Linked DNA regions of Drosophila melanogaster. The gene in region 2 interacts genetically with the main gene of each other region. Each region holds a gene or a part of one and is shown on either strand. Other genes may lie near its edges. The genes, in order: Camta, Fbxl4 and wake.

What was found.
Region 1: of Fbxl4 (region 2) and Camta, changing one suppresses a phenotype caused by changing the other (phenotypic suppression), as found in Drosophila melanogaster (one study listed by BioGRID).
Region 3: of Fbxl4 (region 2) and wake, changing one suppresses a phenotype caused by changing the other (phenotypic suppression), as found in Drosophila melanogaster (one study listed by BioGRID).

The regions. Positions count from the first base shown.
Region 1 is NT_033778.4:9,442,260-9,452,725, reverse strand, and holds the start of Camta (Calmodulin-binding transcription activator), read right to left. Parts: upstream 6,681-10,466; 5' UTR 6,294-6,680; coding exon 6,215-6,293; intron 3,641-6,214; coding exon 3,042-3,640; intron 2,981-3,041; coding exon 2,452-2,980; intron 1-2,451. Other genes in the region: ced-6, read left to right, coding at 8,043-8,053.
Region 2 is NC_004354.4:14,230,918-14,242,629, forward strand, and holds Fbxl4 (F box and leucine-rich-repeat gene 4), read right to left. Parts: upstream 7,007-11,712; 5' UTR 6,407-7,006; coding exon 6,077-6,406; intron 6,023-6,076; coding exon 5,929-6,022; intron 5,798-5,928; coding exon 5,590-5,797; intron 5,525-5,589; coding exon 4,916-5,524; intron 4,854-4,915; coding exon 4,744-4,853; intron 4,692-4,743; coding exon 4,527-4,691; intron 4,461-4,526; coding exon 4,295-4,460; intron 4,234-4,294; coding exon 4,042-4,233; intron 3,978-4,041; coding exon 3,908-3,977; intron 3,846-3,907; coding exon 3,780-3,845; 3' UTR 3,496-3,779; downstream 1-3,495. Other genes in the region: CG42271 (uncharacterized protein), read right to left, coding at 1-324, 734-1,249, 1,824-2,123, 2,188-2,346, 2,504-2,624; Dus2 (dihydrouridine synthase 2), read left to right, coding at 7,457-7,664, 7,726-8,688, 8,756-9,006; mRNA-cap (mRNA-capping-enzyme), read right to left, coding at 9,401-9,603, 9,671-9,867, 9,935-10,208, 10,263-10,401, 10,464-11,396, 11,461-11,664.
Region 3 is NT_033777.3:22,635,684-22,646,071, reverse strand, and holds the start of wake (wide awake), read right to left. Parts: upstream 6,265-10,388; 5' UTR 6,162-6,264; intron 1-6,161. Other genes in the region: loco (locomotion defects), read left to right, coding at 7,133-9,271.

The DNA.
Region 1 (10,466 bases), on a different chromosome or scaffold from region 2:
CTGTCACTAAACTGCAGCATCGCTTGCATTTGAAAAAAAAGGAAAACGATTTTGGAAAAATAATGTGTGATTAGAGTTCTAAATGAAATGCGGCACAAATGGTCAAAGCAAATCAGGGCATGGCAAACACGGACTAAAACTGGGTAAAAGAGCAAAGAAAACAAGTGGCAGGACTTTGACACAATAATCAAACGAGGTGTCCTGTGTGCAAAGGAAAAACAAGTGAAAAGCAAGGGCGGCTGGTGGGCGTGGCAGCGTCAAATTAGGCCCAGTGTTATCTAATTAGCCACCTACAGGATGACACCTTTCAGGAGCCCACCTGTTCGCCGACCCCTCTTCCCATTTTTTTTTTTTTTTAGTCCTGTGTGAAGTGGTGCCAGGCGCCGGCCATCATATTTTGCAATTTAACTCACACGAAAAGATTGTTGTCGGCCCTATTCTTTCTTTTTCGGCCAGTTTTTTTCACTCATTTCTGGCACTCACTGCCATATCTTTTCCATTTTTTCCCCATTTTTTTTGGACGCGCTCAAGTTTCATAACAACGGAAATGCAAAAGTTTTGTGCAAAACAAAGCGCCAACTTTTTTATTTCTCTTGGCAATTATGTGCTCAAGGAAAGAAACAGAGAAACGGACTCAAATAATGATAATGAAGCACACAAGGCTCGTCCAAAAGGATTTTGGAAGAAAAATGCACAAAAAGAGGCAAACGAATTGTAACGCTCTTTCTGATTTTTTTTAGAACTCCTTTTTTCGACTTGACTTGCATGCAAAAGTATCTCACGGATCCACATGTGTGTGGGGGGTAATTTGTTTAATTTGCTTGCCTTTCGGTCGCAAAAAAAAAGTGATAGAAGAGCTCACCGAAAGGCAAATTTCGTGGCTTTATTTCAGTTTTCTTTTTTTTTTTTTTTTGAAGGTTGGCCGCCTTTTAGCTAATGGCCATGGTATGAACGAATATGATAGGATAACAGGAGGAACAACAACTGGTGCCGACTAAACTAAAGCCAAACTAAATTAAAATATTTTAAATTCAGAGGCGGCCAAAGTTTTATCAATAAAATGCAAGCGGGCAAAGTCGTCTGCTCAGTGTTATTTTTTGGCCGCTTTGCTTTTGCATTTGTTTAACTGCAAATCAGATAGAGATCTTCTAAAAGTCTGCATTCAACACGGATATAAGTACACATACCTACAACATTCAGTCGAAAGGCAATTGAAACATCAGCAATACTTGAGCGTTGCAATATGTCGACAGCTCAACAGCCCGACAGCCCGACACCCGCACTAAATGGGATGTTGCCTTTGGCCATAACTCGAATCGGGCTTAAAAATCACTTAGACACTTCGCCCATCGTTCTGGCCTGTCAGCAGAATCGCCAGCCAAGACGACACTCGTGTATCGAGTGCAATAATCATCACTGCTCCCCCACGAGTGCCGAATTTCGAATGCCGCCTTTTCTGTGGACCTCAGCACTTTGACATTGCCCGTTTCCCTTCCAGGGCGTTGCTCGCCAAACGTGGCTAATCTGCGCCCTTCGATCTCCAAGGCATTTGCTGAAAATTTATTAAGCTCTGCCAAAATGCATGGGCAGGGTGCTCAAAGTAGTTGAACCAGTTGAAATGGCTGAAATGCTACTCGAAATAGAGGATAATAGAATAAATCTTTAAGTTCATAAGCTTTGATTAGGCATACTTATATAAAGTGCTAAGTATTAATCACATTCCAATCATAAATCATTTAAATAACTCGAATTAGGCTTTTACTTAGCAATTGTATATATCGAATTTCCCAAGTTGCATCTTTCAATTGGTTCAAATTGGCATCGTTGAAAGTCTTGAAAACTTTACGCCCAAAAGAATTGATTTGTTTTCATTTCATTTTTGCTGTGTTCCTCAAGAAATCATTGAGCCGGGCTCCACTTGCCGAAACTTTCTGATAACTCGTAACTTGTTACTCAGCGCACACAGCACTAATGAAGACGGCACACACACAACAAACACAATAAGGGGTGTCTTGTTGGCTGTTTGTTTTCCACTGGCCAAGAGCAGAGCACCGGTCACCAGGGAGCAGCAGGCTGATTCAAGTGTTAAAATCAATGGGATTCACAGCTGAGTGCAGCTGAAGCCCCTAAGGGGGCGGTCAAGACGTTCCTCGATTTAATTGAATAATTGTGAGGCAGGCCACGTTCGCCGAATTCCTGGTAAATCAGCGAAAATTCCGTAACTAAACAGAAATAGAAGCCAGTCGTCCAGAGAGAGAGAGAGAGCGCCCCAAAATAGGCAACAAAGATGGGGCACAAAAGCCCGGGAAATCTTCAGCCAGGAGACTGCGTCAGGCTTTGTTTTTCGGTCCCGATGCAAATGCAGCTGCAGCTGCAACACCTGCCGAAAACCCCGCCAGCAATTTATGCGCCGCATTTGAAATTCGGTGATACCAAATCCTCGAGACTTACCGTTCCCAAGTGGCACATTCGTTTGCGTTGTTGTCGATTGTTGCTGTTGCTGCTGCTGCTGCTCGCTTGTCACCGCGTTGGACAATTTATTTGATGTTGTCGCTGTGGCCGGAACTGGCACCGCTGTGGTTGTGCTCGTCGTTGCCTCCAGCTTGCTTGCTCCATTAATGGCCACCGTGGTGGCGCTTTTTCCCAGCCTTAGTATGGTGGTGGCCGTAGATGATGTTGCTCCGGCTGATGAGGCTCCCCCGCTAGTGGCTGTTGTGGCTGCTGCCGCCTTGAGCTTGTGCAGCGCTCCTGCCACGCCTTTGGCCGCCTTCGTGGTGCGCGTCACGCTTAGAATACTTGAGGTGGCAAGACTGTTGCCATTTGGTGGCGAAGTGGCCATGGAAGTGTTGGTTGCAGCGGTCGACGCCGTGGAGTTGCGTATGACCAGTATGGATTGAGACTTCTCCAGACGCTTCAGCGTTTGCAGCACAAAGGGTGACTTGCTGTCGCAGTTGCTCTCGGAACTCAAGCTGCGTGTGGCCTGTAAAAGTGATGGAACAAGTTGGTAAAATACAACACAAATGTCACTGCACATCTCTTACATGTTTTAGCATAAAGGGTCTCTCCACCATCTTGGTTTGCGTGGCGTTGGCCTGCTTGGAACGCTCTTGGGCCTTTAGAACGCTCTCCAACTGACTGGCATTGATGGGGGTTTGCAGAAGGATCGTGTTGCTACTGGCCTCCTTGTTGTTGCTGTTGGCCACAATGGAAATGGTGGAGCTGCTGCTGCTGCTGCTGCTGCCGGCTCCACTCGAGCCCTGCACAATGGTCTTTCTAGCCACCGTTGTGGCCGTGGGCAGCTGGTTGAGCGTAATGGCCGTGGAGGAGTGACTTTTCTCCTGCTGCTGCTGCTGTTGTTGTTCGCTGAGCAGGCTAAGAATGTCCTGCTTGTTCTGGATGATGATCTGGCCATTTTCGTTGCGTGTGCCGCGCAGCAGGATGATGTTGCCGCCACTCGTGGCCTGATGCTGCTGCTGGTGTTGCTGCTTCTGCTGTTGCATGGCCCCGATCTTGAGCTTGGCCGCTCGCAGAGTCGTCGTTGTACTGGTTGTTGCTGCTGGCTTTGCTGATTTCGCTTCATTGCTGCTTAGCTTGCCACTGCTCTGCGATCGGATCAAGACATTTTTGGAGGTGATTTGGCCTAGAAAGGAATAACAAAAGTAAATCAGTCTTAAATAATCAATTCAATGTACATACAATATATAAAAGGTATTTATCCAGGTAAAACAACAAAATTAAAAATGTACATCCTAGAACGTCTGGATGTATAAAAAGAGTAGATCTTATTTATTTATTTGTAAGTTATCTAAACAGCGTGTTGGTTTCATTTTTGGTGTAAGTGCTCCTGTAACATTTTGTTCTCGATTTCTCGAATTGAGCAATTTCGAGTGGCCCCAAAAAACGGACAGCCCCATTGTATGCAAATTCAATGGAAACTTCATAAGCGGCGCAAGATTTATGACTCCATCTTGATCGAATTTGGAAAGCCTTGCATTAGAAGCGCATGTGACAGGGGAGGCAGGAGGCGTGGCTGCCATTGTTGCACTTTCCCAGGGTCCGTAAAAATGAACTGAAAGGGACGTCGAGCATTACGTATACGCGACGTATGCCTAGAGCGGTCAGTGGCTCGGACACTCTATTTTGTTGGCCAACAAATGGGGAGGATGGGCGGTAGCCAAACGCTAAATCAAGCGAAAGACGACATGTTTATGGCAGGGACGAAGGACTACTTAGCCGACGAGCCCCAGCACAAAACGCAATAAAAGTGCAACAAACAAACAGCGAGTTTTCAGCCAAGAAAGGAGGAGAAAGTAATGGGGTAGGTTCACGGGTGTAGGCAAATGGGGGTCTCTGCCCTGGCATGCGTTGCCAAATATAGACTCTCAAGGCTGAAGGCGACACGGAACGTAAAGTGCGCGCCGGAAACATTTCGAAATGTAGCCTAAACACTTGTCCGGCTCCCCTGCTTTTCCCGCCTCCCCCCGCCGCCGGCATCCAGCACCCTTTCCTGGGTATTTCCACACCCCCAAAAACCATGTGTGTTTGTTTTCGCAAAAACGTGCGGGTCATAATTAGCCGTTGACGCCGCCTTCAGTCGGCTGTGCTTTGGGGAAAAGCGGAAAAGCAGAAAAGCGGGCAGGGGAAAGCGCCACATGCGACCATCTGACCCCAAGTGGACAAGTGTCTGCGCCCCCTTCGCCTTCCTTGGAGTGTCTGTGCAAAAAGGTCGCCTGCCGCCAGGCAAAATAAACCGCCTGAATTGGACCAGGATCGGAATAGAATAGGTGGGGCCACTGGCTGTTGGCTGGCCATCCATTCGAGCGCACATACTTCATTGTAATGTATGGCAGACCAGCCACAACAGCACGCAGATCCCAGGATTCGGGGCACTCGGGGATCAGGCAGCCGCGTAACACATAAAACACTCTTGGCTGAAGCTTCGCATATTTTTGCGTTCGTCGCGGCTTTTGATGTGCAACGATGTGGACAGTGGGCACGACAATTGTTAGTTTAAGTAAAAAAAAAAATATACAACATATATATAATAATGAAAACCAGAAGATAAAAACGGAATTTTGAATGGAAAATGATTTTGTTGTAATTATTTTAAAATTAATTTGCTTTTAATTCGTATTTATTTTTAAGGGTTTTTCTCATGTATAAATGCTGTTAAAACCAAATATTCCTATAATAGGAAATATCAATTTAATTGAAATATTTTTTGTTTTTAATTCTTTTCTTTAAATTTTGTTTGATTACAGGATTTTGAAAAAAAAAAATCGTGCTATATAATCCCACTGTTGTACTCCACGTGCTTTACTCCACTTGCTTAGCTGGGAAACTGGGGGGGAAACAAAAGTTTCTGGGTAGCTGGACAAATTGCAAGTCTATTGAATTTTTATTAGAAGCATAAATCAAAAAGCGTTAGATTTGCCAGCTGGGGAAAGAGTTCGATAAATATGTCAATAGATTCTGCACATAGATAGCCGACAAAGGGTTAAGAAAGAGGACAAATCAAAGATGAACAAACCACAAGAACAAGAACTTTGATAGGCTTTATCAGTCTGCAACTGATTATTACTCTGGGTCTAGACATAAATATTTATTATTTAAATAAAGTGGTGAACGTCTTGGATTTTTTTGTGACCACTTTCCAATCTTTTAAACAATCATTGTTTATAAACATTTAGGTCACTAGTTTTGTGTTTGGAAAAGAAATGTTTCCATTTATCTTATCTATACTCATGAATTTATGACCAACTAAGAGTGTGTTATTAACACTTCTAAAATTCGAAGCCCGCCAATCGGTTTTTACGAGCAGAGTTGCCATATTTATGTTTAAAGAATCCAGATAACAGCTGATTGCGTCCATAGGAATTTCCAATTAGACTCTCCCATCTTTAAACCAGCTTTGCAATACCGTAGATGGGCGTAATACTAAAGAGATTTCAGTATTGACAGGAAAGGCGTAATATGGCACAGCGGCCACCAATGGGTTAATGGCCCAAAGAAACCCCCAACAACGTGAAAACAAAACGCAACGCAAAGCGAAACACAACAAAACAAAAACTAATTGGAAAACCAATATCGAGGAGAGCACGACTATCAGGTCGAAAATCGGGAGATACGTGGGCTACAGCACAGATATAACTTACATATATGCATGTAGAAGAGGGATGGGTGATAGGGGTAGGGGGAGTTGGGGCTAACTTACTTTGGAGTTTCAGTGTGGAAGTTGAATTAGAAGTAGAAGAGGACGAAGCGCTGGTGGAAATATCGGGCACATTTTCCATGTGCACAGCTTTAACAACCAATTTTAGAATGCACTACTCTCTTAGCGGTTGGCACATTTATTTCGCTTTATTGAGAATGCATTTTCATTTTTGCACACCAGCTCGCACGCACACACACACAGGTGACATGGGCGCTCGCACACGCACACAGCGACACCGAAATCGCAGAACTCTGGGATATCGAAAAAAGGTAAACAAAACTTTTTCACTGCCTCCCTGTGCGCAAGCCGTGGAGTCCCTTGGCGGATTTCGATGTGCTTCAGCTGGACGATGCATAAAATGCAACAAAAATCAATAATATCACCGTTTCACACACGAAATTATTAAAAAAAAACGATAGCGAAAATATTTTGAGCTACTCCAAAACTGTGTGCATGTCAAACTGTCAAACATATGACGGCAAAGTTGCCAGATGTTGCAAAGGGCGAGCTCCCACAAAACTTAACGACAATGATTTCGAATTTTTTAAAATTGATAACTTATTATACAAGAAAGCAAGAATACTTTACAAGCCAATAACCTTGTAATCTTAACCTTACAAGTCTATGTTTGATATAAATTAGTTTAAACTATATCTAACCATCTGGCAGCACCCCAAGTGTTCCACTTATCGGCTTATCGGTCAAGATGACAACTCCAACATTCAATTATCGGAAATCGGGCACTATATTTAAAATATCGTATTGAATTTCAAATCCGGGTTTTGTTAGTCATTTTTTATACGTTTTATAATTATTTTCTTTCTGTTGAATTTTAAACTCCGATGTATCCCGCCGTGTCCGCTGTTTACCGCCGACGTCCAGCTGACGGTTCCACCCTTCTTTAACTTACATATGTATATGTACATTTCAACGAATCTAGTATACCCTTTCAGTCTACGAAAATTTTAATCTTAGTTCAATCAAATGATGTATATTAGTATATAGGTACATAGTCGATGGCCTCGGTTATATTATCTTAAATAAATAAATAATGAAGGATTGATGAATTTATAATGCATATTTGTCTTAAAAACGCTGAGATTGGTTTGCTTGGACGTGAGCAGGAAGTTCTATTCCTGCGACTTTTGTTAGAACCCAAGGAAAATATTACATACCATTCTAGTTCTTAGCTTAGTTCAATCATAAAGTTATATGTCAAAATCCTTTAAGAGGAGCATGCAAATGGGAAGTAAAATGGGCGTAAAATGTAAATGACATTTTGTGTAATTCGCATATGTACATTTGTATATTGTAAGCTATCAAAATATATGTATGTTTGTATGTATGTACAGCCCTTGAGACCGCCCATCATTGATAGGCAACGACTTTCGCCGAACTTTCCTTGGATTTTTCCAGCAGCCGACCCCGCGGTTTTCCGACCCCGCCTCGCTTCCCTCCGCTTCCCGCGACCAGCGGAAGTCTCGGGGCTCTGGCTCTATCAAAATCAACGGGCGGGGCGACTGAAGCGAACACAGAATAATTGCCATAGCTGTGTGCCAGTGCCAGTCAGTGCCAGCAGTTTGAAATCGACGACAACATCAGCAGCAACAAGCATTGCAACAACAGCGACGGCGCGGTGATAAGTCGGCTGCTGGCTGTATATTGCCGCTGGCTTGTTATTTTATTGTCGCTTTTGTTGCACATTGAAAATAATACACAAAATAATTGAATTACTCGAAATGTGTGCATGTCCGTGTGCGTGCCACTTGTGTATGTATGTGTGTGTGTCGTGCCTTTATGGGGGCGTTCAGGGCCCCGCTGATAAGCGATGATCAAGAGGTAAACGAGATAAGCGCTGCTCATTTGGAAGCACAGGCAACACGCGCTAAATGAACCCGCCAACTTGATAATCCGCGATCCCAGAAAACAAAATATTTGTCTTCTGAATTATCTTGTAATGATAATTTGACAGTTATTGTATATTAAGAAGGTCAATGTTTACTTATGGGAAGCATAATAAAGCTGAAATTAGAATTTTATGTTTATATCTATAGTTAGGATAATATGATATTCTCTCAATATTGCTACATTACATTGCTGGCTATAATTTAGGCATTGGAATTAATCCGAATCGCGTTGCTTGTTTGATTTGCAGCTTTGAGTTTCTTATTTACATATGTATATGCATTTTGTGGCACTTTGACAGTACTCCCCACTTTTGATTTCCTACAGTGTTCCCCGTGCTCGTCGACATGTGATAAGGAGCGTGAGGTGGAAACGTGACTCTCGGCGGGGCGGGCATCGGCACGTAAATTATGCTGATGACACCGGCTCCGCACCCAGGCTCTGAAAAAGCTGAAAAGCCCGAAAAACTGAGCGAGCGATTGCGCTTGAAAAATACCAGCACGTTCCTACGAGCTGCAAAGCAACAAGAATAACTGGCTTCGGCTGCCATTTTATTGCAGCGCACAAATATTTACAATACCATTTAATGACATTTCGCCTTATAAAACAATGAGTGAGAAACGTATTTTCTGGTTTCATGCATTTTATTTGGCTAATTGGGCCTTTGAACTCTATTGCTTTGATGATGAAAACGACGCCAAGATAACGTCATGTGCGACGAAACAAGCATTCGAAGTCACGCCCCCTCAGGACTCCCCTCAGCGCGCCCAACGAGCATACGCAGTCAACGCCCCTTGGCGACGATAACAATTCAAAAGAGACCCCGATCAAAATGCAATAGCGAGTTTTTAAAAGCCATTATTACTTGCAAATGGGGGGCAGATCGAACGCCCCCTCAATAAGTGCACATTGAACCATGTTGTTGGTGCCAGTTTCGCTGAGCCCTTCTAGGTTCTCCGTAGTACGAAAAATATCTATGTACTTATGTATAAAGCCAAGTCTCGTAGACATTTCTTCCAAGAAACACAATGTCGTTAAACAAACCTTTTAAAAATCCACATATGACTTCATTAGTTTGTTGCAAGCTTATGAATACATTCAATGTAGTTTTAATGAGTGGAAGCGGTTTAACTAGCAAGGTTGCAGTTTGAAAAGCCCAAAAATAGCGTTGCCCTTTGTTGCATAGGTCACCCTGTTGCTCCACGGAAAATCTCTCAATGAAAAGCCGTTCGGAGTCTTCCTTTTGGCCGGCGGAAAGGAAACTGGTAATAAAATTACAGCGGGAGAGAAAATAATAGCTGCAATATCTGCTGTCGGCGGCGCAGCTAGCGGCCTCTAACTGTAAATGGCCAATATTAAGCGGAGAGAAAAGCCGAAACAGGAGCTTAAAAGTCCGGCGAAGAGATAAAGAGAGAGAGATCGCGGTGACAGAGAGCGGGTGTGGGAAAATTGTACGTATGCCCAGATGCAGCGAAACGACAAGGAGAGTACTGTGGGCCAAACAAAGTTAAAATTCCCTGGGCCAGGAGGAATGCCTGAAATGATCTTATTAGTAAAGTTTTCCGTACAGAAACTTACTTGATCTTTAAAAAGCTGTTTATTCCCGTTTAAGGGTTTCAACCTCATTTACAGCCTTTAATATCGTTTACCTAGAAACCGAACAGCTATTAAATATTAAGTACCATAAGCTATTTGTGGTTTTCAGGCTTTCACGCCAATTTATTTTGCTAAACGGCTTTTGCATTCCACAGTGCCTGCATCCAAACTGAAACTACAATTGCAGTGGCCCCACACACACACATACCCTCATCACGCACACTCCTTTATGTCAAGCCGGTTTTATTTTGGTTAGTGAAGAGAGAGGGGCGGTTAAAGGGGAAGGGACTGCAGTTAAAATGTGGCAAAATGGAAAAGGAAAATGTGTACTAGAAAAATGCAAGGCATGCCACCAAACAATAACAACACCACTGCAGCATCGAAAGCAACAATTGGACACCGAATAACGACAACAATAATCAAATCCTGGTACATTATTATATGGTCGACTTGGGGAACCAGTTTTATTGCAATTTGTATTTGAAGCGGCCAAACAGCCCCAGAAATTACGTATTACGAAAATAAATAAATTTTTCTCTAAGCTGCTTCTGCTTCTTCGTCTTGTGCGGCTAATAACAAAAACAACGGCAATGCTGTGTCTTTGTTTTTACGTCAGGTCGAGATTACAAGCATACATATAGCTATAAGCAGGTTACATGTGTGTGAGCGCACTTCCCCCACCTGTTGCAGTAATTTTAATTGGCCAAAACCATTTCGGTGGAATCTCGAGACAGTGCCGTATGTTCTGGCA
Region 2 (11,712 bases):
AGTAGTCCTTGAGCAGGCGTAGATGCTCCTCCAGCAAATTCATCTGTCGCCAACGCCACTCGCCGCTCAGCTCGCCCATGCCGGAGATCTCCTGCAGCAGCTCCTTCTCGCGCTGTATCCAAATGGAGAGCAGCTGCTGGGGCAGCTGGCAGCAGAGGCGCGACTCCAGCAGCGTCTCCTGCACACTGATGTCCGCACCCAGCGACGAGTGCAGTCGGTATGTGCGCAGGCGGGGATTGGAGCACACCCGTTGCAGGCCACACTGTTGCGGCACAAAGAGGCGGACGCCCAGCTTCGGTGGCAGCGACTGGGTGCGACGATGGGCTGTGGATGGAGGAAGAATATGGTAGTCACTAGGCTAGAGGCATCCAAGAGATACCAACTTGTAACGCCAAATACTTTGGTCATGAAATATTTGATGAAATATCTATCAGTACTTCTCAGATACACAGTACATATTTTCAAGCTCTACAGATACAAGATACAATTTAAATGAAAGAGAGATTTTGAAGCTTACAGATACAAGATACATTAAGTTTTAGGAACTTTTATCGAGCCAAAACCAATGAATGCTTTATCTGGAAACTGGAAAACCTAAATACGATCGCAAAGTGCCACTTTGTATACTTTTCCTTGTCGTTTTCGAAGTGATACTCCAAGAAACCCGAATCCTAAGCACCTATTTCAATGGAACCCTGCTATGCACAAGGTCTATAAGTGCCCCAAATCTCACCTCGTCTGCTGCTCGTTGTGGCTCCACCGGCGCCAGCCGATCCATCGAACAGCTGGGTGCTGGAACGCGGCGGACCATTTCCCGACTGGCCGGGCTCCACGGCAGCGTCGGGTGACCAGGAGGCCAGCGTAATGAAGCCGCACTCGCCGCGCGGCGATGTCAGTGGCAGGCGCAGCCGGCTGGTGTCCTGAATGACGCCCAGGGCCACCTCGGCATGGCCCAGCGGCACGGCGGTGAGCGTCATCCGTTCGCGGACATCGAAGACGCTGAAACGCAGCCGTGTGCTGGCCGACAATCCGGCGCTGCGCTGAAAGCGCATCGTGCACAGGAACTGGGGTGTACGTGTGCGCTCCTGCAGCTCGGTGCGCGCGTGCTCCCGCCACACGCAATCCTCTCCAGCTGTCGGCAGCAGCGAGCACACCACCTGCGGATTGGGCGGTCGCCCCAGCGTGTCCAGGGGCAGGGTATCACAGGAGAGCGCCGTCTCGCAAATGGGCAGCTCCGAGAGATCGAGTTCTGTAAGTAAGAGCAGACCAGGTCAGATTGCAGGCGGGGGAATGCAATGGTTACAGAACGGCAGGTGGCACAGCTAAAGCAGGAGGGGATTGAATAACAAACAACTGGTTAATTTCGTTTAAATTCATTAGCAAAACAAAGTTTATTCCAAGAATAAATTCATAATCACATGGAACGCAATGCAACACCAGCTCCCGATGGGATTACACATAAGTTTACAACATATAAATTCGAAAATGGAGTAATGGAAATCATGGGTTTAGTGCGTTCAATCGATTTCGATTGGATGCAACCGATGCAACAAACGAAAAATGAAATATTAGTTCGATAGCCGAATGTTTGCGATTGAAACGTCTTTGGTTGGACGCGTTGGAATCGAATGAACTCAAACCGGATGTGGTTGCATGGAAGTGAGCGAGAGGTATGTGGTGCAGTGGGTGGAACAGTGACATGGCCAAATATTTGGTTAACAAAACTAAAAAAACAACAACGACCGCCGCGCGTTTTCCGATTGTTTGCGTTTCATTTTGGATTTTCTTATTTGGTTTTTTGGGTTAGAACTGTATAAGATCACCTTCAAACGGCGCCACCACCTCCGTGGGCACGGGCACGGACAACTCCTCCGCCGGCTGGCCGTGCAGCTGTAGCTGCTCCTGCATTTGCTGCTCCAGCGGCATGCCGAGGTCAATGTGATTGCCCATGGAGGATGACGCCCCGCTGCTGGGCTGGCGGCTCTGGCTAACAATCTGTTCCTTTAGCTGGCGTATGAGCGCGTTTAGCTTCTCGCTGGATGCGTGCTCGATGCACTGCACCCAGGCCAGGCGTTCGGCCGACGAACGTGTAATGAAACGTTCCGATGGGCTGTCCTTGAAGTCTGCAACACATAGGCATTTAGTAGTAGTAATCATAGCATAGCATCATTGTGCATTGTTGCCTACCTAAATCGAATACGTAGCCCTCGGAATCACGCTCCTCATTCTGAATGCGCGCACGACAGTTCTCCAGCACCAGGAGGCCGGCCACCGCTGACTTGGGGTCCTTATCCTTGAGGTAGAACAGTAAATTTCCACGCAGTTTACACCAACGTTCAACTCTGACTGTGGGCGGTAGAATTAGGTGCATAAGCCAAGTGCCTGGACAGGATTGGATGTTGTGTGTGGGTGGGTGGGTGGTTGGTTTTGTTCGGTTGTGTGTGTGTTTGCTAATGCATGTGCATGGATGCGAGTGATCAGATGGTAGTGGTGCAATCAATACCTTCGCTAGAGCGCCACAGGAAGCCCTCCTGGCGATCGGTGATGATGAGCAGGCCCTCCTTGTCGAATCGCGTTGCTGGATTGCTGGCCAGGGAGTTCAGTTCCGGCTTGTTAAAGCGCATGGCTGCTTATCGCTGGATCTAATGGATATACACAAATGCCACACAATTGGTGGCCGGACCACTCGTTTAGCAACTCCATAGATGGACGGGCACGCCCGCAAAGCGTCGAATGCTCGGGCCACATCAATAATTCACGGCAATTACACGATGTGTACGTGCTGCTAGGGGGCGTGGCCGGTGGAGGAGGCGGCTCCCTAACTGGGTACACACACACACACACACATACATACCTTCTGCTCCTCCCCCTCTCCTCCTTCTCCACCTTTATTTTTTTTGGTCCTGCGACCTCGTTACTTTGTTGTTATTGTTGTTGTTGCTGCTGCTGCTGCACAGCTGGCTGCCAAACGCCCCGCACTCCGCTGGCACTCACAATCGGGCTACTCCTGGCCAGGAGCTGGGTCATCCGTCGCTCCGAGTGAATCCCCTTGCCCACGATTGCAATTAATACAAGCAACTAATTGAATTTAACAGCTAATTTTGATAAGCGCACTGCGCTACTGTTTCTGATTGGAAAATAAGTTGGAGATGACAGCTGGAGGTGGCAAAATCGGTCGTGAGTATCGAATGGAAGTTCTTGATTTCCAATGTTACGATGAAATGCAAATTTAGTAATGCAACCTATATAATATTTCATTTAAATATATATATATTTATTTATTTCATATTTGATGGCATCTTTATAACAAAAATTATTCTAATTGGAAAATTAGCGCTGAGCAATGCAAGAGTGTGGTCACACTGTTGGCAGAATTTACCGATAGTATCGATGTATACTTATAATCAAAATAAGAAATTGTAATTCTTGCTTAAAATGTTAATGCAAGCAAATGAAATTAATAAATATCCATATAGATTAAAACAAACCAATTTTCATCAATAAACAAGTGCATTTATACGCAACTTTTGTATTATAATTCTCTAATTCTTAGCATTAGTTCAAGTGATTAAAAAATCGCCCAGCTTAATATCAAATGTTTCATATTCATAACAGCATATATATATATAACATTTTACTATAAATGAAGAGGGAGAATGTCACATACAAATATGTGGGATCTAAAAGTACACTTAGCATTGTACTAGGCATAATTAGTGTAGCTACAAGGACTGGATTGTCCCATTTCCGGTTTCAATTACGCCATTTCCGTTTCCGGTTCAGTGACGTCGACTGCTCTTGATGTCCACTTTAAATTGTCGCGACCATTCCGCCAGCAAATCGAACTGAGTAACAAATGGAATTAGCTAAGGAATAGAAGGTGCAATTCCATCGAACATCTACTCACATCCCGATCCATGATGTTGTCACAGAAACTCAAGTCCAGCAACTGCAGCTTGGGACAGTTGACCAGAATGCTGAAATCGAATCGAATTGAATGCTTAATGATCTTAAAGTGATTAAAAAGGAAGAGAGACGTACTCATAAACACGCTCATGCGTTATGTTCAGAATGCCCATGAGGTCAAGCTGCTCCAGATTCTTGCCCAGCGCGGCAATATGCATGAGATCGCGTTCGGTGGTGCCGCGCACCGCCGACAAGAAGAGCTTCTTTAGCTTGGGACAGTTGGACAGCAGCTGGAACAGGCCATCTCCGAGCGATGCCTCCCTCATGCTAAAAGAACAGAACATGTTTAACTTAAGGATTATGCAATTCCATCGCGCATGACACCTACCACCAGCCCAGATCCAGTTCCTCCAGCTGATGGAGACGCGCCAGCGATTGCAATCCTCTGGACGACAGAAAGTGCGCCTTCCACAAATCCAGCGAGATCAGCTGCGTATTGTACGTGGCCAAATGGGCGGCCACATTGTCCATGTTCACCGAGACACCACAAAATGCTTGAGCAATGGGCATCAAATGCAATTGGTTAAACGCAACAAAACTGAAGCTATCTAGAAGCTCACCCAGATTCAGATGCTTTAGCTTGCGATTGCCCTCGAGCATGCTGAGCAGCAGTTCCGTTTCGAAGTACGTTTGAAAGAGATCGAGACGCTCCAGATTCTTGAGATTGGCCAGACAGGAGAAGTTCAACAGCGGCGGTTCAGTGGCACAGTTGCGCAGGCTCAACTCTGCGACGAAATATTAAGTTAAACCTTCGATAAGGATGCGAGAAAAACCCACCTATCAGATTATCACAGACAATGCCCACATTCTCAATGCAGCTGGCATTGAGAAACTTGCAGGAGTTCAGACGCAGGTGGGTTAGATTATCGCCGCGTTGGGTCAGGAATCTGAAACGAGTGTTCGAATTTTAGTTCTAGTAGCTCAGTATGATTTGCTAGCATGTAACCACTTCTTGAACTCGGTGGGCGAGACATTGCCAAAGCCGCCGCACCAGGACAAATCCAACTTGCGCAACATGGTGGCCCGACGCGCCAACGTGCACAACAGCTCCGAGCTGGCCACATCCCAGTAGGGCTTCAGGCTGATCTCGGCATAGAGCAGCGGATGCCTGGAGATGTCGTAGAAGGTGCGCGACACGTGACCCACGCGGAACAGCGACTTCAGGTCCAGGTAGCTGAGTATGCGCAATAGGATCTCGAATGGCAGATCCGTTAGACAGATTTGTGGCGCCGCCGCCTCGCCATCCACACAATTGTCCGCCAGAAACTGACTAAGATCGTTGTTGATGAACTCGTGCAGCTTGGTGGCACCGTCTTCGCCGCAATTCGGCTGGAACTTAAGGGTGCGCAGCTTGTGGCTAATTGATCCGCCACTGCCGTCGCCGGACGTTGAGCCAATAGCATCCGGTGGCGGCGACACTAGCGTCCGGCTGTGCTGCGTAATTTGCTGCTTGGCCAGTAGGTTTTGCGTTTTGGTGACCGTTCGACCGCACAGCATAATGGCATCGATTTCCGTATAGTAATTGAGTCGGCTGTGATTGAAATCGATGCGCAGCGTTCTGCCAAGAAGAGAGTGCGTGCTATATATTCCAGTGTTATGATACCACCATTGTCCACTACTTACTTCGTTAGCATCGTGGTCTTCTTCAGTGACGGCGCAAAGCGACGCGAGTCCAGTGGCGGCGGTCGGGAGAGATCGCTTTCCGTTGCCTCCCACAGGCAGGTCCAGTTTTTGGTCAGGCCGTACGCCCAAATGCGTACAACGGCGCCCGGATTGAAGGTCTCAAAGATGGCCACTTCGGTGGGCACTACAAACTCCTCGAAATAAACAACTGCAAATCGATAATAAATGTTATGATGATGAAATTCTATAGCAATCACAACCTTGCGCAAATTGAGCTAGATATTCTGATGCAAGTGCAAGGGTATGTGATATCCGGCTATCTTGAGCTAGTCATCTTACCAACATAGTCATGTGTTTCCAACTTCGGCAGATTCTGGGGCTGAATCTCACGCGTGGCGGACGGTGCCCGTTGCCACCAGTCGCCGTAGGTGCGCTGCGGGCGAGAGTTGAATGGGTACCGTGTACGGATGCTTCTGCATGGACTCACCATGGGAAAGGTCTCCGGATAATCGCCATAGGCGGGAAATTTCGTTGGCCTGCCAATCACATTGGCCGCCGTATACGAGATGCTGTAATCGATGCCATACTGTGAACTGAAATCGAGCACGCCCAGCACATATTGCTCGAGATAGTAGCCCTGATCGGATTGCGTCGTCTGCATTTTGCTGTCGCAACCGAACCAACCGCCGTAATCGCCGTTCTGCCTTTGCCGCTGCAGCATGGCCGTAAAATCGACCAGTACGTCCGGCTCCGCCTCCGCCGCCGGGCTGTCCGTTTCGCTGGACTCTGCTGGTTCGCCGTAGGCCAGCAGGGACATGGCCAGCGCCAGCTGCCGTGGGCGCTGGCCGTAGGTCAGCCTCAGTGTATCGACCGCCGCCTGCAGGCTGCGCCCCAGTCCCAGTTCCCCAACCGCGTACCAGGGCACGCGTTGGGCATAACCGATGGGCCAGAGTCGCGGGAGCCACTTGTTTCTCCGGTTCCTCGGCTCGTCCTCGCCTGGCTGCTGCCGCTGCCGCTGCTGTCCAAGGATTGCCGCTGCTGTGTCCGGGCAAATTGTGCTCCTCGAGATGATCCGGATATTGAGCTTGGCTGCGCCGTCGACGTGGATCGCCTAGCTATGGTCACGTTGCTGGGCCAGACCTTAATGGCTCTGGCTAGCGATGTTCTCCTAGTTCTTCTGCGCAACTAATCCAATTAATGGCCACTTGCGGAGTCCTCTTTGGTTTGCAGCTTTATTCGCGCCTCGCCTTGTTGCTCTGTTCGCTGTCCGCCGACCTCTGACCTCTGCTGCTTTGTGCTGTGTGTCGCGCTTGGGTGGCAATTCTCTCGAGGATTCGCGGTTATTCAGCAAATTTCTGTGCCAAAACAAAAACAAAAAACTTTTGGCTTGCTTGGTTTAAATGACAAAAACAATACTGCTATCGATAACGAGAAAATCTATCGAAAAATAGACCGTGAATACAGAAGTATATTTTCGAAAATACCAAAACACACCAAGCGAAATTGCTATAAGAACAAAGGAAAGGTATGTATATATATGCAGGATAAATATTAACAATGCCTATATTTTAGCTTGTAAGCAGCTGATTTAAATTTTTGTTTTTAGACATTATAATAATCAACAATATTCAGTAGGCGGAATACAATCAAACAAAAATATGCAAAAATATTCACTAGCACAAATAAATCATATCTGCATAGAATATGCAGTTCTTCAATAATTATTCAATCATATTTATATGGCGTAGAAATAGTACCTTGCATGACGGCTCCACGTGTCGTGCAGTGTCCGCCATGCGCTGACGTGCAGAGGGCCCCAAATTGAACGGCGTGCAACAGCTGAATTCGATTCCCGCGATTCCAATCCATGTTGCGACTGCCGACGATTTTAAGGAAGTCCTTCAGCATGAAGACGCGCCAGAGGCTGGACTACCGCAACAAGCTCATACTGGCGCCAATGGTGCGCGTGGGCACGCTGCCCATGCGACTGTTGGCCCTGGAAATGGGTGCGGACATCGTTTACACCGAGGAGCTGGTGGACATCAAGCTGATCAAGAGCATACGCAGGCCGAACCGTAAGTGGACAGAGCTCCAGCCAACTCAGCATACTTCATCTATTTGCATTATACCTTTTAGCCGCTCTGGGCACGGTGGACTTTGTGGATCCGTCGGATGGCACGATTGTGTTCCGCACCTGCGCCCAGGAAACCTCACGGCTGGTACTACAAATGGGCACCAGCGACGCTGGACGGGCTCTGGCCGTGGGCAAGCTGCTGCAGCGCGACATTTCCGGTCTGGACATAAACATGGGCTGTCCCAAGGAATTCTCCATCAAGGGCGGCATGGGCGCCGCCCTGCTCGCTGATCCCGACAAGGCGGCACACATATTGCGCACTCTGTGCTCCGGCTTGGACATTCCAGTCACCTGCAAAATACGCATACTGCCGGACGTGGAGGGTACAATCGATCTGGTGCAGAAACTGGCCGCCACGGGCATCGCTGCCATTGGCATTCATGCGAGGACGCGCGACGAGCGTCCGCAGCATCCTGCCCATCCCGAGGTACTGCGTGCCGTTGCCCAGGCGGTTGACATACCGATTATCGCCAACGGTGGTTCGAAAAACATGCACTGCTACGATGATCTGCGCAAATTTCAAATGGAATGCGGCGCCGATAGCGTGATGGTCGCACGTGCGGCACAGATCAATGTTAGCATCTTCAGGCCGGAGGGCCTGCTGCCCATGGACGAGCTAATCGAGAAGTATCTGCGCCTGTGCGTCGACTACGACAATGCGCCGCATAACGCCAAGTACTGTGTGCAGAGCATACTCAGGGAGCTGCAGGAGACGCCGCGTGGCAAGCGTTTCCTTCAGTGCCAGACGCTGCAGCAGATCTGCGAGATCTGGGAGCTGGGCGACTATTGCCGCCGCAAGCAGCGGGAGCTAAAGACGATGGGCAACTCGGGACGGGCGGAGGTGGAGCCACCGGAGGCGCTGGCCAAGCGACAGAAGCTGGAGGATGCGGCCATTGCCATAACGGACGAGTACGACGGCATCATTTGCCGACACATGCCATTCCTGCGCTCCACCTATCCCAGTGGTAAGTGTTTCGATCAATCTCTTGCCATGATAGCCATCATCCCCATTCGGTATTTTTCATGCCACAGATAATCATCTGCCGAAAACGCAACTATATGTGCATGCTGTCAAAACTGGCAAATCCCCGCCAGCGTACGAAACGCAGCAGTGTGACAAATTGTTTCGCTCCATCTGCACGTACGATGGCCAGCGCTTTAGTAGCTCCTTCTGGGAGAAGAACAAGAAGCAGGCAGAGCAGGGCGCCGCTCTGGTGGCCCTGCTCCATCTTGGCCAGCTGGAGGCGGAGGTTCTGCGCGACAATGGCAGCCTGCTCAACTGAGCAGCAAAGTTCCTCCTGTTTTATGTAAATGTCATCCATTTTGGCTATGTTTTGGACACCATTATTTAGTTGTTTTTTTTTTTTTTGATTATTGCAATGGCTGTTGCAACTGCCTTAGGTGCTGGGAGCAGTATCTGGACTACCTCCATTGGGTTAACAAAGTTTGCATCTGAATAAACAAAACTGCAAGTGTGCAGTGCTTTAAATATATGTATGTATTTAGATAAATAAATTATATGAGCTGTTTTAAGTTTATAAGGAGTACAGCTGGTTGGAGTGCTCCTAGTACTAAGTAATTCGTAGTTCAGCTAATCCAAGAAAACCCAAGTTCACACAGTTTTTCGGTACATAACTCACGATTAATTTTATTCTTTCTTTTTTTATTACGCTCTGATTAATTTCCTAATGTCGGGTTCACGCAGGGACGACGCTGGTGTTGGCCATGACCATGGGGATAAAAGTGGTTATGGTTGTGGTTTTGGTTATGGGAATTGATCGGCGGCGGCATCATGACATGATCATTCCGATAGCCAGAGCTTGCGATAAAGTTTAGTAGGTACTCCTTGGTGACTGGATGCTTTATGCTGTCCACAACGGCTGAAATTAAGATGAGTTGAGAATGAGTATAGGGATCCTCCTACTGCTGGTGAAGATTACTACTCACAGCGGGCTGTATTATAACTGTTGGGATTCTTTTTGTCCGTTCGCTCGCGCATAAAGTCCCAGTTGCCAAACTGATTCATGGTGCACTCAACGATTCTGTTGTCCAATTCTCTGGTCTCCTTCGTTAACCTTTGCATCCGTCCATAGGGTGCATCGTGTCCGCCGACATAGAGGAAGCCCACCTTTTTCGTCAGCAAGCTGCCAGAGGCGGAGAATGGCATGGTATGAATTGAGCCCGTTGAACGGATAGATCACTACAACTCACCCCTCGCCGCGCTCTGTTATGATCTTCAGCCGAAAGTCCACCGAGTTGAGCTCATGTGGCTTCCATTTGAAGACATCGGAGCATGTGCCAGCCGTGTAGGGCTGCTTTGATGGCTGGAAGATGAGGCCATCCGGTTCGTGTGCCAGTGTCCGCGAGAATTTCTCACCCAGCAGCCGGGCAGACATCCAAATGTCCCAGAAGTCCTTGCCGCGCACACTGAACGCCTGCAGCCGCTGATTGATGATGCCATGCTTCATGCCCAGGATTCGGGGACCTGCAGCGATATATGGATGTGTCCTTCATAAACGAACATCGAATAATTACTCACCTATAACTTCCGTCTTAATGTAGTCCAGTCGATTTGGATAGAATGGCTCGTCCCGCACATCGCGATTCGATAATCGCACAATGTCGTAGATGAGGTAGCGCGGCGTTACGGTCTCGCCGATCTTGTCCAGCACCATCTCCTAAACGGACAAATAGAACGATAATTTAGTTGCAATCAGGAGTGCCAGCTAGAATCACATACCCCGTCGACGAGAGTGCCGTCGAGATGCTCGTTTAGGTTCCTGCTCTCCACAAATGTCACATTCTCCACCTGGAAACAGGAGTGATTGCGATCGAAGAAATATACCTCGTCCCTTCCATCGATGAGCATCATATAACGTGTACCGTCCGCCTTCCACGACACACGATACGGTATCTCGCTTAGCCGCTTTATGTTCTCCCTGTCCATGGAGACGGGCTGTGCGCCAGGGAAGCCGTTCTTCTTCCAGTCGCACCAGTCCTGCACCTTACGCTGCAGATCGCCCAGTCGCGGCTGATCGCTCACCTGTCGCACGCCCGGCACTCCCGCCATAAAGGTGGCATTCTTGATGATCATTTCGCGCCGTCGCTTCTTACGCGGCTGACCGTCCGACGTGGAGGCGTCACAGTCGCCGCCCGCATCCTCTCCCTCCACCTCCTCGGCGTCGTCATCCTGCTCGCCGGCCTGCTGTGACGTGGATGAGGAGTTGTCCTGCACAAAACCATCGCCGTTGCCATCATCATAGTCCAGGCACCAATTGGGCTGTTCTGGTGCCGCTGGAGCGGCATTCGTGTCCTCGTAGCGTTTGTACAGCTCGTTGATGTAATCCTGCTTGTAGATGCCCGGCGGCCGGGCGCTGGCAAAGATAGCGAGCGCTGCCGAAACGGAGCAATCGAGTCGCTCGACCAAATAGCAGACAATCAGGAAGCCAGTGCGATTGAAACCGTGCGTGCAGTGCACGGCTATAACGTCAAATGGACGTTCGTTAATAAAGTTGTCCACGATCTCGATGAAACTGTGCGTCTGCTCCGGCGATGGCGTCTCGCCATGTCCACGGCACTGCAGCTTAATATATTTCGCGCCGAGCTCCTCCACTGCGGATCGATCGTAGAATCGTTTCGTATTGGTCAGGTCAACCCAGAGGCCCAGTTTCACCTGAAACCATAAGATGGATTGGATAAGTGAGTTGGAAATTGGGGGATGTTGCGTTTGCATTCACCTTTAGCGTTTTGCAGTATTCGAAGAGCATCTCGGGTTGAAAGGTGCACTCGATGGGCATCTTGTCGTGAAAGTTATTGCTCAGCGGGGTCTTAAAGGCCAGGAAGCGTTCCGCAATGATGGTATCGCTCTTGCGCGGACAGTATAGCCAGCGATTGGGCAATGGACCAGAGCCCCGTTCCCGATCCCGATTAGTTAGGGCCATAGTGCCACAGTGGCTCCGCCTCTCCTGCTCCTCCTCCTCCTCCTGCTG
Region 3 (10,388 bases), on a different chromosome or scaffold from region 2:
ACTTAGCCACCAGAAAGTGACCAATTACTCTGTGGCTTGGTCTGTGAAGTCATTAGACGATTGATGAACACCAGCTAATTTCGGGTTAAACTGCTAATCCTGCTGTGGGGATGCTTATCGTTTTGGGCCCTCTGTCAAAAGTGTTAATTGACAGACTAATTGAAACAGCCGCAAAAGGCAATTTGCAAATGGAATTTGAGATAAACACAATTAATGCTTTAGTTTAGCCCTTCAAGCGAGGCGCTTCACTGCCAATAGAGAATTGGCAAAGGCAAACACAAACACGAAATTTCCATTTTGGCCTGCGTTAGCATAATTGTTAAATTAGATAGCAAGCAAGATACTGTGCGTGTTTAAGCACTCTGCCCGTTTTGAAGTAGTGCAATTTTCAATAAAAAAAACTGATTGGCAGTCGACTTGACTGGGCTACCCGAAATAAATTGCATTTTGTAATTAAATTTACACACCCCGAGTGAAAATCAACCAAATGGGCATTTATGCTAAATACCGAATAACAATATGGCCACGGATCAACTGGGCGGCAATAGCTCGTTATTCTGGGAGCGGTATGAAATGGCCACACGGCGTATGCGTGATGATTGGCATTGTCGGCTTGAGCTTTTGCACAAACGCAAATTGGCGAACGCAGCACGGCAACTAGTCCTTTTCCTGGGTAGAAAGGCAAAAAAAAAAAAATGATTGGGAAATCCCCTCAAAGGCAAATATCCTACGAACACGTGAGATAGATAAAACGGATGGGGCAGGGGCAAAAAAAAACAAAAAAAAAACAAGTCCCACGACAGCAAAAAATAAAACAGATTCGCGCTTCAGTAAACAAATCCCGAGCAAGCATCGGTTTTTGGGCCACATTAAAGCCGTAAGTACCAGCATCCCCCCCCAACAAAAAAAATGACAGACGTACAGATTTTTGTCTTCCTTCTGGCAGGGGGATTCCCAAAACGCCCAGCGGTTTGGTGTTCAAGTTAGCCAAATATTGACAGGGCCATGTGCGAAGTCTGCGATGCGTGGGAAGGGCGGTTGTGTCGAGCCTAAACGATCTACAAATGTAATTTCCCTACGAGCCAATCCACCGCCGCTTACTCAACCAAATCGATGCCAGGACACTACGTGTGCACTCAAAAAAAAAGAGTGTCTAGAAAGATACAAGTCTGGAAAAGAACTTATTTCTTGGGTACCTAGTGTTTTTTGCCTTTTTTGACTATAAAATATATATATATAACAACTAAATTTTATATATTTATTTAATTTTTTTTAGATACACAACTATTTCTCTCTCTGCACAGCCAAAAAAAAAACAAGTTCGTATATCCAAATAGATATACAAATCAACCGCAAACCCAAATAAAGCAAGGCGAATGAAACTTATTCGAGCTGAGGACATCAAAGGAAACCAGAGAGCTGGGTATATTGGCAAGCGAAAGACAATTACGTTCAATTTGAGCCACAAGGACTCTGCAGTTAAGTTCAACTTTCCTGCCATTTGGTAGTGCAACTAAAAATAAGGCAGCCGAGTGTAATTGTAATTTAGCTGCAGCCAAGCGAGATCAAAACAAATTGATTTGCTGGCACAACGGCGATTGGGTTACGTTAGTTTGGTTTGTTTATTTATACACATATATGGGATACAAATGGACGGAACTTAAGTACCATCCATATTAGAATCGCTTTTTGTTTGCTCGCGTTTTGCCTTCAACTGCAAACATTTGCAGACAAACACACACACACACACTTATGAACGGACCGCCCGCCTCGGCATTATAGAGCTATTTTAGTCGGCACTCGCTCATAGTTACAGTCCAAGGTCACAGGACACACCACCCCCCCCCCCCAAAACACACACACACTAGCTCGCCCGCCCCACAAGACTGCGAAATATTTTTAAAACGAAAAAAGCGTAGCACACTTTTCGGGGCGCCCATTTTTGACACTTCATTAGTTCGCGTGAATGAATGTTTCCGTTGTTGTACGTGTATGAAAAGCAGCAGAATAATAATAATAATAAGAATAATAAGAATAATAATAATGCTGCTGCTGCTGCTGATGATGATGATGAAGAAGTAAAAGTATAAAAATGCGGATGAAGAAGCCGAACAAACTTTTTACGATTTGCCCTCGAGCACCTTTTGGCATTGAATTGGAAAAATTTGCCTATAAAGTCAGCCAACTTTCCAATTGTTACCAATAACGAATCGCGTCGAATCGAAGCGAAAACTTTGTGCTGCCAAAACAAAAATGAGAGCCATTAAATCGCTACAGGCACTGTAGCCGGATTGGGCCAGGGTAAAAATCGTAGAAAATTCGTAGGAAAATTTCGGATTTCAGCGTAAGGCCGATTGCAAAAGCAAGTGCTGCCAGCACAAGTTTCACATTGATGATTTACGATGCGTCTCCGCTGGGCAACCGAGGCCATTTCCCCAGCCAGGTGGCACAAATCAATGGGCAACGTTACCAGCTTTTCCTGCCATTGTCTTACCGCCGCGCCGCAGATCCCGGGCGCAATCCAATGCACATCCCGGGCATTAATCAAGCACAAAAGTGGAGCAGACAGAGCAACCGAATTGGTAATAAGAACTGCGATAAGCCCCAAGGATATCATACTAATGGTTTGGCGGGGGATAAAGGTCCAGCGAAATGTGCCACCTTCGATTCCGCGCTGCTTGAAATTGCTAATATCTAAGCCGGAAATTGCGAGAATTTCACTACCTTTTCACTTAGCTGTCATCTTTAATTAGCAGCCTTAATTAAAAGTATCAACGAGAGAGAGAGCGTGTAATTAAAAGCGAACCGCAACAAAACAAAGGCACAGCAAAATGTCATTCTAATTGCCGTACGCAATTCATATTGCATAAAAACCAGAAATAAATAAAAGAACCCAGCATTGGCCTATGAATATAAATTGAAAGTGAAATGAAGAGCAAGCAAAAAAAAAAAGCAGGGAATGTAAATAAAGCGTTTGTATCAATTAAAACGAAGGCCGGTCGTTATGAAATGCTAAGAGAAAAGCAATAAAAAGCAATAAAAAGCAAATATAGTGACTAAATAAATAATATTTTTAGAAGCTTACATTGTTTTCATTTTTGTTGTTAACCAAAAATTGGTTGGTTACGAAAATATAGGCAATATTCTACAATTTAGAACACAATTCTTTGAACATCATTTTGCTAGAATTTAGTCTGACTGCTAAATGAAACTGAAATTGCAAATTAGATTGCCAAAAATAAGCCAAAGGCATTTTTACATACATCACATTGTATTCATGCAAAGTGCGCGTCAGCTGCAGCAATCTTCATTAATTGCATTGCAATGAACGTTGGCATTTTCGCACATATGCCAGGGCAAAAAAGGCCAAGAAATGTCAGCCAGGCCAAACACAGCCATATGCAATATGCACACGTATAGTCGGAATTCTCGGAACGCATCGCCTGCAACGTCATTGTCATGAAATGCTTAAATTTATTGAGAGCATGCCACATATAGTATATACAACAACGTCCTTGTCCGGCACTTGGTATAATATCAGAACTCCTTGTTTATATTTTTAGTGGCAATACCAATTAATCTTAGTTGTCAAGAAGCCGGGCGCCCAGAAATAGCAATGTTATATATATATATATGTATATATATGTATAGGTAAGTATTTGTAAGTACTTGGTTCTTGCCTGTAAAATTAAGCACTTAATCATCGCTTGCAGATTTAATTAAATGCAGCATAATAGCAATTCAGGGAACAGGCAGCGATATTAATCATACGCCATGTTGTCAGCTTTATGAAATGCCTGCATAAATCTCTGCCAAGCCGCAGAATGCATTCTGCTGTTAAAAAAAAAAAATGCATGTGTGGGCGCTTGCTGTTGGCAAATTGTTTCAAATGTGCGCAATTTAAACGAAATTGAGAAACCAAAAGCGGAAAAATAAAGGACGAAGCAAACGTTTTCGGTCAGCCTTTTCCTTTTGACAAATTTGAACAAAAGCCAAAAAAAAAAAAAAAACCCCTCCAGAAACCCCAGCAGCATTAATTTCTGTGAGTTCTGTAATAAACTGGAGTATACGAAAAAATAACCACGACAGCTAAAAAGGGGAAAAATTTGGGGCAAAAAGGAAGTAAACAGCAGCGCGAACAAATGGCTCGTTTGGCTAACCTTTTCTGTTTGGCTGCCCTGCATTGCTTTTGTTTATAGAAAAGTTTAAATTGTGTCAATTTTTTGCTTTTTTGGCGCTCGCGCAATGCAGAAAGTTTGGGAAACAAATGAAATGTGGGTAAAAACAATTTCCGAAATCGCGACAAGGACGGCGACTTAGGACCCACAAAAAGTGTGGGTATGATAATGCCACAAAAAAAAAAAAGAGTATATTCTAAGATGTCAGGGGTGAAAGTTGGCATTCCAGTGAAAATTGCGTATTTTCCTATTAATTTTCCAGTGAGACGTTTACGAATTAAATCCCTAAGCGGATAGAATGGCGGATTTTCATCAGGTGCAGCTGGATGTCATAGACACAAAGCTTGCTATCAGCATAGTTTTACTGCTCTTTACGGTTCACTGCGATTCAGTGAAGCGAAAATATTTACTTTTTTGTTGAAATATTGATGACATTGGTCAGATTTACCATTTGAGCACACACAAACATGAATGCGAGCAGTGAACTTTGACACTTTTGTACATATATGGAAAAAATTCAATCAAAGTTTTCCATTTTATTACTGTATATTAATAATATTCTTTAATATACGATCCAATGAAATGCTTTCATGAGCCCCAATTATAATCAAATAACAAAACACTTAGCAAACAATGGTGACATTAATAAATTCACAGGACATTCATCAATCAAAAATCAGTTCGATCGATATTATTAACCCTTAAATACATTAAACTTTCGGTAATGACTGAGGTGCTTCCGTCGATTCCCATCTTCGAGGGGACATAATTTATTGATTTATGTATTCAGTCCATTTGGGAAATTAGGTTTCAATCATTTCCAATTGATTTCTTCGTCGCAATTGAGAAACTTTTCCTGCCAACTTTCAGCAGCAAAATAGTTGGACAAAACAGGCGAAAAGTCGGTTGGTATGGGAATGCAAAATGCTCGGCATCTCCTAGTGGCTAACAAAATCCACTGCCAAACTAATTTGTGGCCAAAACTATGTGAGAGGCGAGCAGGAATGAAGCATGTGCCAAAATAATACAATAGAACCAACTGAAACTTACTTGGGCTTAGTTGAAAAGAAAACTTTCGCTAGCCAAGAAATTAAAGTGAAGTAGGAACTAGACTTCTGGACAATTTACGAGCTCCCATGGGATCGCCAACCGTTTTGGTAACCATGTATATAGCACATATATAGTATGTGCGCGTCGAGTCAGTTTGGCAATATAAATGACGATAAATTAATTATCGGCCGATCAAGTCATTGTCGCCATTAATTATGGGCCCACGATGCACGGCCCAACGGCCTTTTAATAGTTTTTCACACGCCCACGGGACTCAGGACCTTCGGCAATTAGGATGTGAGGTAGATGGATGTGAGGTAGATGGAGATGAGGAGATGAAATGAAATATGGCGTGAATGGGCCGAGGTTTTATGACAATGTTTGCTGCCTGAATAGCGCGGCAGCATCGTCTGGGCCATGAATTTAATGCGCTGCAACAGTTAATGATTTTATTGGCACTCCAGTCGCAACTTGGCCACATCTTTGGGCAGAGACCGGGAATCGGGGACAGCGGATTGGTGTTAGAATCCTCGTAAACAGTCGGGCTGGAATTTATGACTTGGTCTCATGAATATAATCAATGTCAAGAGCGACGCCAAGTGTCGTCTGGGGATCGCACTTGCCGCGCTCTCGAATCCATTCCCCGCAAGAAATCTGAGTGCCCTGACCAGACGCAGACGAATCCGGATGAGCCGTAAACGAAGACGGGCAAATCGCTCGCCTGGCTTAAATGGCATTTCAATTTGGCACTTCCGTTTCCGCAACATCCCACCCCCATTGCTTTCTATTGGCTTTCTATTCTTTGTCCGTAATGTCCTTGCCAACATTTCAATTGGTTCAACACTGGCTGACTGGGGTCACTTCTGCAGGTCTTGCTACGGATAATCCTTAAACATTTCAGCGTTAGAACTTCGAACACTTCGATCCGTTTACCAATAACATTTTACATTTCACTCGAGCAATTTAACTGCTGTTTTCGGGTTCAAAAACTAATTCAACAGCGGTTCTGGGTGCGCGCGTTCAACCAATGCGTTTGAAAGTCCCAATGTAACTGAAACGGCGTGGGCCAAACACAAATAACACGCTACGCAGATGTAAGCTCACCGGAAGGACTTTAAAGGACGAGCGTTCGGAGCTTTTATTTAAATCGAAAAGTAACTGACGGCAGTGGGATGTGACAAAAGTTCGTTGCTATGCAACGAAGGTCAGCCCAGTGTGGCAACGATTGCTTCATAAATTTCAATGAGTCTGGCAGCCCTGTTTTTATCTAATTCAAATTTGTAAATATCGTTTTTCTATCAATGGTCAATGCCTTCAATATTTGAACAAATCAAATTTTCTCTAGAACTGCTTGTTAAAAATTGTTGACATTCTGCAAAACTTTAACAGTAATTACTAAAAATATGGTGTGTCAAAGTGATCGATGTTTCACAAAAGGTATGTAATATCGATAGTATCGAGTAAACATTTTAGTGTGTTCCATCTCTAATCATAGTTACGCTTGCGCATTGTAGACATAATTTTAATTACCGATTTACACACAATTAATTGCTACAAATATGCCTGATAAAGTTACAACGATGTTATTAACCGCGTGAATATGAGGTAGCACCCAAAGAAGAGTTAGTTATCAATTAATTAGAGGCCTAGAAAAGTGTAACAAAATACGCCTGGCCATTGGTGCGCATGTGTGTGTGCCATTGATTACATAGTTGGCATAGGCGACGCACGGGTGCGAGCGAGAGGGGGCATCATCCAAAAAGGGGCGCAACAGAAACCGCATTCCATTTCCAGAAATCCAGGTTGCAGCTTCCATCCATGAGAAAGGTGCGTACAAATGTCCAGATGTGGGTTAAGATTGGCCAGTACTCCTCATCATTCGTTTTCTCCACACAGTAAGCGCCATGCACCACCATCATCCGCCTTTGCCCATAACCGGAGCAAGTGGCTCCACAGCCGTGGGAACGGGAGCAGCTGCAGCGGAGGATGCATCACCTGCTGCGAATAGTGGGCCCGCCCCCATAAGCACCTCAACCACGCCTTCGGGATCCAACAGCCAGCAGCATCAGCGACGTCGCAAGAAGCGAGCCAACTACAACTACAATGGCATCCGCACCGTGGAAGTGCGACGTGGTTACAATGGCTTCGGTTTCACCATTTCCGGGCAGCAACCATGTCGGCTGTCTTGCATCATCAGCAGCTCACCTGCCGAGCAAGCTGGCCTGCGTTCCGGTGACTTCCTCATATCGGTCAACGGTCTAAATGTCTCCAAGTTGCCACACGAAACAGTGGTGCAGCTCATTGGCAACTCCTTTGGCAGTATTCGCATGCAGATCGCCGAGAATTATTATTCCGACAGCTCGGATGAGGAGAACGCCCATGCCACGCTGAGGGGTCAATTGTTGGCAGCCAGTTTGAGGCACAAGCCCAGGTTTCTACACCACAAAGCCAAACTGCACAGATTGCGCAACTCGCCACAAAAGAAGCTAAACCCACCAGAGGCAGTGGAACCGCACAAATCAAAGTCATCACCCGATCACCCTACATTAAAACCCGTTCTGGAGGATCCGCCTCTGACAGCCAATCTATCCAAAGCAGCGGATGTGGCCAATGTAAGTGCCATGGTGCGAGCTGTGGGCAGTGCTGCACTGGAGTGCCGTGTTATTGTTGGCTATCTGGGAACCATCGAGATGCCCAAGCAGATCTCGCATAGTTCCAAGCTGCAGACAGTTCGATCTTGCATTCGAAAACTGAGACAGGAGAAGCGACAGCCCACCATTGTGCTGATGTGCATCACGCCGGACAGCTTGAGCCTGCAGAGTTCCAGCGGCGGAGTGCTGGCCACCTACTCCTCGGCCAGGCTGAACTTCGTGAGCTCTTCGTCGGAGAGCGAGAATCGATTCTTTGGTCTGGTCACTAGCGCCGTGCACAACACACAGATCGAGGAGGAGTACGAGCCGAGCGCTGGCAGCGCAGCAGCTGCTGGTCACATCAGTATCTCGCACAGCTGCCATGTCTTCGTCATCGACACCAAGCTGATCGAACATGCACAGCATTTGCAGCGGGCCCACGAGTTCCGCCTGCAGTGCACCCGGGATCCGATCTCGAATTTGTGTCTCGAGTTCCCTAACAACTCGGAATATGTGGTGAATCTCGTGCGCAGCATGTATACCATGCGGATTCTCCCACCGGCAAGTCGGAGTCATCAGGCAGACTATGAGGCGGGTGCAGGAGCCGCCGCAGCTGGAGGAGCAGTAGCAGCTGCCCACTCGCCGCAGCCATCGAACCACAGCGAGATCTCCACCACCACGTCCAATTCGGATTCGGGCATTGGCTTCAACAACGATTGTACGAATATTTCGGATCGCATTCTGGTTGTGGACTTCCTAGCTGCAGGAGCGGGAGCAGCGGCGGCGGCACATGCAGGACCACCAACTTATCCAGCTCCTGCTCGTCCACTGGGCATAGTGGGAATACCGGATAATCGACTGACTGTGCGGGCCATGCCCGATCATTCCGCCCTGCTAAGATCGCCGCCAGCGAGCTCTTCGCTTCGTCGACCCAATCTCCTGGCCAGCTTCAATCTGATCCAAAGTCCCGCCACGAATCTCACATCCACCCGCTCCTGTGATGATGTCCTTAATCTTTTTGTCGACGATTCACCGCGCACTTTGGCTGCCGTGGCCTCTATGGATGACATTTCGCTGCACTCGGCTGCTCCATCGCTCGATGAGGGCCACACGTTTGCCCATCCAGCGTGTGTGCCCCGCAAGATGCGCAGATCGTTGGCTCTGGAGACGCCAACAACGCCACACAAGCTGAGTGCCCAGGTATTTGGTCAACCTGGCTCGCGTCATTCGCTGGGCTTCGAAGCCATCGACAGTGTGCAGTCGTCGGTCAGTGGTGCATGTATGGATCAGACCATGGACACGTGGGCCAGCCTGCAGAATCTGCACAAATCGCACAAGGATCGGACCAGCATGTCCGCTTCCTCGTCCTCCCACTGCCTTTTAGAAGCTACGAACAGTGAACCTGATTTGGGGGTAAGTGGAGCATATCCTTTTGTTTATCCTACATGTATCATAAGTTTTTGAAATGATTGGGAATACCTATAATATAATCATAAGTGCATTTTATATCAAATCTAACCCATACAACCCTCGGCTTATGTGAACCGCTCCTGTGCGCGGGCAGAAATCTGTTTACCTGGACGCCGCTCCAAGTTACCTGCGTTCTCGGAGCTTATCGCCCCACACTGCTCCTCCTGCTCTCTGGGCCCACAGATAAGGGGCTCTTTCTCTCTCTCTAGTGGTCTGGTGGGCCATATATCGGCATTCCTTTGTCCGCTTACCCGGAGTTTTGGTAGTCACAGTTGGGCTTTGGCAATAGGTGGCCACGGTTCCGTTATCTACGATTCGGGTACGGACATCGCCGGATTTTAGTTACTATTTACGTCCAGGCCGTTACACTGCAGCTCCGATCGGTATTATCACGGTTTGGGGATTCGAACGCGTCATGGTTGATAAGGGCGGAAGTCGCTGGCTAAAAATAAAGTGCTCCGAGCCGAATGACGTCATGGGCGTAGGTCACGACTGAAGCCGATCACCAGTGGAGCTCCATCACGAGCGGCTGCCTCCGCCGTCGATTCCTCTGCCTCGAGCTTAATTCAATCTAAAGCAATTAATGGCGTCGATGTCGACTGACCTTTTCGCTCCTCCGATCGGCCCCCACATCCCAATCCTCCACAGAATTCACATCGGGTACTCGTAATTTAGTTTGATTTTCGATTTGACAACACGCGATTTTTTTGTACGATTTTTGTGCGATTCGGTCGTCCGTTTGCGGCGGTTTCACTTTCGTCTCGCTGTGCAGTTGCTGTTCCCTCGTGTATTTGTTTTATACTAAATACATAGTACACGATGTGGGCATATTAAAATGAAAATATAAATAATATAACCGTCTGTGAAAAAGTTGCTCCATAAAAAGTTCAACGCCAGTTCAAGGAGCTTCGTCAGCAGTTGTGACTGAAATAAATATAAATAAATTGTCATTACGATAAAGCAAGAACAAAAACACAAACAAAAAAATTGCAAGTGCAATTGTTTTGCACAGGCAAACAACAAAAGTGATCAGCTCGATGCAAAAATGTCATTTCGAGAA